Linked DNA regions of Stegostoma tigrinum. The protein of the gene in region 1 interacts with the protein of each later gene in a pairwise test. Links are inferred from orthologs where the notes say so. Each region holds a gene or a part of one and is shown on either strand. Other genes may lie near its edges.

Region 1 (3,755 bases):
GTGTCTAAATCCTGTATGTGAGGGATTGGGCATATATCCAGCTTCAGTTGTAATGCCTGTCTGAAGTCCAGTTGGGCTTGAGTTAGTAGGCTACATCACCACTGAAATAACTCTACAGAAGCTGATACTTCGTCACTAATTCACCCCTTATTTACACACGGAGTGTCTTTGATACTGATCCAGCTCCGTCAGAGTCAGCTCTGAGAATGAATAGGATGTCTGACACTCATATTCTTACGTGTCAGCCAGGGTTCCCCGAATGGACTAGATTAACAGCTCTAATCAGGGAACTCATATTCTATGAGGTCCACCTGGCTGATCTTGTTACAATCACTACAGAAACCTCTTATAAGTTGTACCATTTGAGAAAGATGTGGTTCAGGTCAGCCATTTCGCAACTCAGTCAAACACAGTGTACAAAGGGAAGATTATTCCTCAATGAATTGAGAACATTTGAAAGATAAGGCATTATAGTTGAATTATCCCAGTTTATTTCTCTCTTATGATGAGTGCGTTCTCAAAAAACAAACTGAAATTGATGTTTATCTTTAATTGTCTTTTCAACAAACATCAATGGGTCTTTTTAAAATATATGTCTAAAAAGGCCCTATTTCTTAAACATCAAAAGGCAACAAGCATGCCATAATTTCTTTTAAATTCTGAATAGCTCATCACATGAATTATCAGTTCTGTCTGGCAACCCATTGGAATTTCAGATAATCTGTACTGGCTTTCATGGAAGTATGTCTCTATATGACCACGCTGAAGTCACTGGCTTGTGTTTAAATTGACCTTGTGCTTGTTTATTTCCAACCACGAATTCGCGCACACAATAACTCCTTCTGTAGAGGAATGGTGCTTGCAATTCAAAGTGGGCACACACTGTATATGATACAGTTGGGTTTAAGACTTGTTGCTTATTTTGCAACTGGGTTATTTAAACCGCACTGCTTTTGAACAGCAGCATGCTCCAGGGTAAATTACATTACTCCATAAACTCCTAAATTATGCATGTAATAACCTGTGAACAAATATAGTGACTCTTTAAGACAGAGAAGTTAAAACTAATAGAATGCAGTTGTCTGTGGGATGCAACATCATTGCTGTTTACTAATCAAGTTAATGCAAAAAAGTTGAATGCCTTAATGTCTCACAAGTAAACAATATGACTCTGCATGAACACGGTCTGTTCCTTTCCAATGTACTACCTGACAAGGATTGTTCCATTCAATAACTTTTGTTCTATTTAAATTTACAATTTAAAGTTTATGACATCACAGACTTAATTCAGGGAGATTGCAATCTTGACTTAGTTTGTTACAAAATATCATATAATCCAAGCATATTGCAAGGATAAATGGTATACCTTGCATTCTAGATCCTGAAGGGTACAGTCGCCTCCTAAAATAAGCATTTCATTCCTACAAGCTTTCTTTCTGTGTTGTTTGCAACAACTGACACAGGTTTCGAATTTTGAACCATTCTGCGATGCTTGTTCAGGAGGTGGACATCAACAGAAAATAGTTTAGGGTAAGGCCTTGAAAAATTAATCGAGGTCCATGTTAAAAGGGTGAGAGAGATTAGCAAGGTAAAGAAATGTTGCAGAAGATTTATATGGTGCAGGCATATGGAAACTTTGTGCCATCAATAATGAGTATAGGCATGGAATTAAACAATGTAACAAGAGGCTTTGTGAATTGTAATCACATTCTTCCCCTTCTTTACTCAATGTGATAATACAGATAATGTAACTGCAGTCTTCATTCCAAGAGAGCACAGATGTACTATCTGCACTGTGCAGCAATCAAGGTGGACTTACCTTTCTTTTCCCATAAAATGAAGCTACTCTCCTCTTCCTAGTTTGAACAGAAAGCTGCTCCTTTTCTTTCCCTTTACTTGGTTTTCAGCAACATTCCTTGCAACTTTCATACTGTGTGGCATTCTTTCTTCCATCAGAACACTCCAGTTTGTGTCTTGATAGTTCTGGATCATTGACAGCTTTTTGTGCCATAACAAAGCTTGGCAATAAACAGCTCACTATTTTCCTGTTTGGATTTGCAAGTTGCTTAATTGCCTGGTGGGCCTTCTGTATCTGTTTCCGTTACTGTTTCAATTTCAGCCAAATTTTGAAAGACTGCTTTAAAAAATAATCTGCACATACCTCCATTCACAATGTCACATTGTAACTTGCATGCACTCTGCGATGACACAATCAGGGTATCCACTAACCTTTCATGCGACTGATATTCCTTGACACTATTTTTAATGCATCGGTTAATGTGTTTGTGTCAAAATCCTAGGCACACGATTCACAATGCTGTCATTAGCCTGTTTACTGCAACCAGCGTTGAAAAAGTGCCACCGAATTTGTCACTAGCTTTTAGACACAGCTTCTATATTCCACACAGAGCAGCAGGAATGAAAAACAAAGAATGGAAAAATGAATAAATAAATGCATCAATAGAAGCCATTTGAGAATCCTACTGATACATCTAAAAGCCTTTCATTCCATCCCTATTTCTTTCTTCAGAAGCAATATATTTGATTCCATTTGTACGTTACAAATTGGTAGGTGTAAGAGAGCAAAACGAAACATGGATTAGCAAATACTATTTAAATATAAAAGATGTTTAGGTTAAAATAGAATTGGTTCTAGGACACAGGGTGCAGAATGTTTTTACATAACTGCAAAAGAAGGTAGAAAATGGTTAAGAAATTTCACTAGATGTTCAAACCTTGGAATTCAGCCTGAGAGCAAAAGTCCCAGAGGTCTTTGGGAAGTGTCAACTTCCTGTGCAAGCAGCACTAATGATGGAGAGATTAAAGTAAAAGCTTGATTCCAGAACTCTCAGGAGACAAAGCAGACACTTTGAGAGCTGCAATCAAAAGGAACTCATTCTGAGATCAAAGCTGCCCAGACCTTGATCTTGGTGAGGTTTCTGCCAGGACTCTTAATTCTACCCTGCAGAACTGCATAGAATTCAATTCTCTCACCACTCTAAAGAGAAATCATTGACTGTACTATGATTTTTCTGGTGTTTAGGAATGGCAACATCCAGTGATTGTTTTATATTATTGCACATACAAAGTTAGGAAATTATATTTCAACCAGTGTTTGGGGAAAGTACACCAGTGAAACCCTGAAATAATGCCCACTCCTTGTGAAAATGTCACAGTACTGAATTAGGAAATGGATTAAAACAAGCAACTCAGCTGGTGGTGATGACACCATAAACTGTTAAAAGAATTAATTTTATTTATATAGCACCATTTACAATCTTAGAAATTTCCAGGCTGCATAACAGTCGATGAAGTGTTTTTAAATATAGTGACTGTTATATTATAGGGAAATGCGGCCATTCATTTACATGCAGCAAGCTCTCACAAACATCGAGGTACTAACAAGATCTGTTTCAGTAATGTGGGTAGAGGGATAACAATTGGCCAGAAAGCCAGTAAGAATATCCCCACTGCTCTGTGAAATAGTGCCATGAAATTTTTGTCAAGCAGGTAAGTGGCAAACAGAGCCTCAATTTAACACCACTAGTCAGTATGTCAGACTGTTCAGTGCTCCCTCTGTATACATTTCAGTGTCAGCTTTAATTATTTGTTCATTCCTCTGGTGAGATTTGAACTTACAACCTCCTGAGACTAAATTGTTCCTGACCCAAGGTTGGCACTTCGAGCTAGACCTAAAATTTTGAATTATAGCATGCTTAACTGCCTATTTACTAAACCATATAAAGTATTGATTC
Region 2 (3,755 bases), on another chromosome or scaffold:
TTGTAACACGTGAGACACCACAAACATTGTCAGATTGTGCGACATTGTTCACAGACAATTCCACAAACTTGTTGCACTTAAGACTTCAGTTTATTTAAAAATAAATTTCTCCTTTGTAATTAATGCATACAAGTTCAAGATTGGTATTTAATCTTTTTTCACCTACATATACAAAACTGCAGTTAATGGAGGTAGCAAGCAATATTCTCTAAGATCTATTCAGGAGTGTAAATTTTCCAGCAAGCTAGGAGACAGGACTCCACCCACCAAGAACACATTGCCAAAGCCTTGTTAATTGGGCTGTACATCAGTTAAATCACACAGTGGAGGGAGAAGGTATAGTGGAAGCAAAGATTTTGAAAGAAATTTGATAGTAACATGTAATGCACAATATTTTGCCACAAGTATGCCATAATATTAACAATAATTGCTGCTTCCTTTTAATTACATGAAGCACAAGATTATTTAAAAAAACACTGATCAGATGCTTCAAAACTAAATACAGCCCATGAAATATTTCACTGCCAAAGCAAGTTATTTACGAGCTAACATTTTTCCACGTATTCATTTAAATACTACCTTTGTGATAACATTTTTATAAATAAAAAGCTTTACTAAATAGAATATTGCCCTGTTTTGATGTAACACACAGAAAATTTCCCAAAACAAGCTTTATCAAGCGATTTCCGCATAAAGGGTATCTACACAGCAAATTTAAAAAGAAAGTGAAGTTTCACCAAACTAATCTTGGGACAGCACATTTGTCTCAAGAGCAGGGACTGAAGAATTAGGTCTGGGTGCTCAGCATTTTAAAGAATGAGAAGTGATTTCAGGTAAACTTACAAAATTCTCACAGGATATGACGGAACAGGTACGGATACAAGTTTCCTCTGGCTTGTGAGTCCAGAACCAAGGAAAACAGTCTCAACGCCAATATTCACTCAGAGGGTGGCGAATCTTTGGAATTTTCCTTCTCTGGAGAGATGTGGGAGTTTAATCCCAGAGTATGCTCAAGACCCAGAAACTGATACATTTGATGGGACAAATGGCCTACTCTTGTTCCTATTTCCTCTGCTGCCGGTCAGTAATTAAACAAACATAGATACTTGAAGCATGGAAAGCATTAATTTAGTTATCCACCTCACATACTTACTGGACTGTTTCCAGTATTTTCTATTTTTTTTGTTACAGACTCAAGCAAGAATATGTAATTATAATTGGGAATAACGTTACTTTTGTATTTTATTTCACACTACATACTTTATCAATTTCTACAAGTAACAAGCGAACTGATAACACGAAAATTTTATAGATCCTGTCAGTGCTTCATTCAGCTTTTGTTAGTATCCCGCACAGTTAGAATAACATTATGAAATGAATTAAAATATAAATAACGTGAAAACAGCGTTCAAAACTGCCTCAACAAAATTATCCTGAACGGAATTCTGCAAATGTGAGCGGTAGGACTACTTGCATCGCTTTCAAAGAGTTAGTACAGGCACGAAACCAAATAGTATTCCTCCACGTTATTAAAAAAAATTGCATTCGTGAGAAATATAAAGATACAAACCACTTATGGATGCAGTTTATTCCGCGAAATGCCACACTATCAAATTAGACAGGAGATAACTGTCAGTAATTTTTAATTCCAGATTTGTTTAATTAACTGAATTTGAAGTTTCAGGGTGCTAGGATAGGATTTTAACTTCTAGCTCCAGATTATTAGCCGCTGATGGTTGGGATCATCTCCCTTCCAATGGGGCCCACAACAAACTCCTTTCACTTCACATAGAATCCCGGACTACAATTTCCTACATCTTACTTGTGTGATTTAGAATATGAATCACAGCGGGAACTGGAGCGAAGCCTGGTCTGGAAGCAGACCGGTGAGGCTGCTCCTTGAAGCTGCGATTCACTCGGCCCCGGCTTTACCCAGCATGACAAAGCGAGTCAGCATCAGGCCCCGTTTCTACTCGCTCGTACATAACATAGAAGCCGCAGTTACACCCCAACCCATTAACCATGAGTAAAATGTGGAAAACATACACTCTTTCAGGCGGCCGTCGATCTCTTTGTGCTCCAATAATTTTTTCCTGTAATCCTGAAGCGCCTTCTCCCTCGGATCCGCCATTGATGTTCAGCACCAAACACCGCCTGACGAGACGAAGCTCCCAGCCGCATTTGACAATGAGTCTCTTCTGAAGCAAGAGTAGCCACTGACTGGGAAGGTATCTTACCTCCAAAGTGTACAGCCTCTAGTGGCTAGAGGTGGTATGGCTGTCGTGTGGCTAAGCCCAGCATCTGGTTTGGCCAGGCGGAAGTAATGAACGCGCCAGCAGCTTACATCATATTGATGTCTCAATGGTTATTGTTGAGGTTTTCTGTAAGAAGCATTGCGGTTGCTGGGAGATTTGTCGTCATAGTCCGTTGTACTGTCTGTCTTGTGCTATCCTCACACATTCACTGTAGATTTTCTGCAACTGGCTTTGTGTTGTTTGACATCCAACCCCTAAATAGGTTGGCCACTCTTTCTGCTGTCCTTCCCTTCCCACTCCAGAAGATTGTAATGCTTCGAATGTAAACATATCTTTAGTTAAGTGAGCAGACCAAAACTGTACACAATATTTCAGATGTAATCTCACCAAAGCCCTGTACACGTATAGCAAAATATCCCTACTTTAAATTCCTTGCAATAAGCAACAACATTCATTTGCCAACTTAATCATGTATTGTAATACAGTCTTGGTTTTTGTGACTTACTGTAGAAGATATCTTTCCGCATCATAGTATTCTTTAATGTCTCTCAATTTAAATCAAATGCTGCTTTCCTAATCTTCCTGCCAAAATGGGCAAGTTCAAATCTCCCCACATTAAACTTTATTAAACATTTGTCCGGTCACTTAATCTGTTAATAATAAGTGCAGACTCTTCACAACTTATTTTATCACCTATCTTTGGGTAATCAGTATTTAACAACCATACATTTATTCTCCTCATTCAAGCTATTGATTTAAATTAGAAATAGTTGAGGCCCCAGCATGATCCTTGTGGAACTCCACTTGTTTTTTTCTTGCCAACCTGGAAATGATCGATCTACGCTTATTCTCACCTGGAGGTCATAATTTGTGTAATAAATATTGATGGGAACCTTATCAAATGCCTTTTGGAAATCCAAAAACACTGCAAGGACATTTTCTCTGTTATCTTTGTTGCTTATTACTTCCTTAAATAACTGACAAATTAGTCAAACACATTTACACAAAACCATGTTGATTTTGACTTATAGTAAGATTTCTAAATTCCCTGCTATAACCTTCTTAACAACAGACTCTGGCATTTTCCATCTGCCAGCTCTTATACTACCTGGCCTATAATTTCTTGATTTCTTTCTCCCTCCTTTCTTGAATAAAATCTTGAATACATTTGCCATTTTCCAATCTGATGAGACAGTTCCAGAATACAGGGAATTTTGGACATTGAAGCTAATGCATCTACTATCTCAATAACTAGTCTTTTTAAGACCTTAGGGTGAAGTTCATCAGGTCCTGGTATCTTCTCTACCTTTAATTCTAATATTATTCTTAGTATCCTTTTCCTAAGAACATAGAACATAGAAAGGTACAGCACAGTACAGGCTGAGATAATGGGAACTGCAGATGCTGGAGAATCCAAGATAATAAAGTGTGAAGCTGGATGAACACAGCAGGCCAAGCAGCATCTCAGGAGCACAAAAGCTGACGTTTTGGGCTTAGACT

The links.
Region 2: the proteins of UPF0500 protein C1orf216 homolog (region 1) and psmc6 interact in binary tests that used the Homo sapiens proteins (3 or more experiments, as listed by UniProt). The two-hybrid records come from large-scale screens. The link is inferred for Stegostoma tigrinum from reciprocal best matches to the Homo sapiens genes C1orf216 and PSMC6.

Annotation. Positions count from the first base shown.
Region 1 is NC_081377.1:22,225,122-22,228,876, forward strand, and holds the start of UPF0500 protein C1orf216 homolog, read right to left. Parts: upstream 2,309-3,755; 5' UTR 1,820-2,308; intron 1-1,819.
Region 2 is NC_081363.1:46,105,432-46,109,186, reverse strand, and holds the start of psmc6 (26S proteasome regulatory subunit 10B), read right to left. Parts: upstream 2,206-3,755; 5' UTR 2,132-2,205; coding exon 2,047-2,131; intron 1-2,046. UniProt on the Homo sapiens protein: Component of the 26S proteasome, a multiprotein complex involved in the ATP-dependent degradation of ubiquitinated proteins.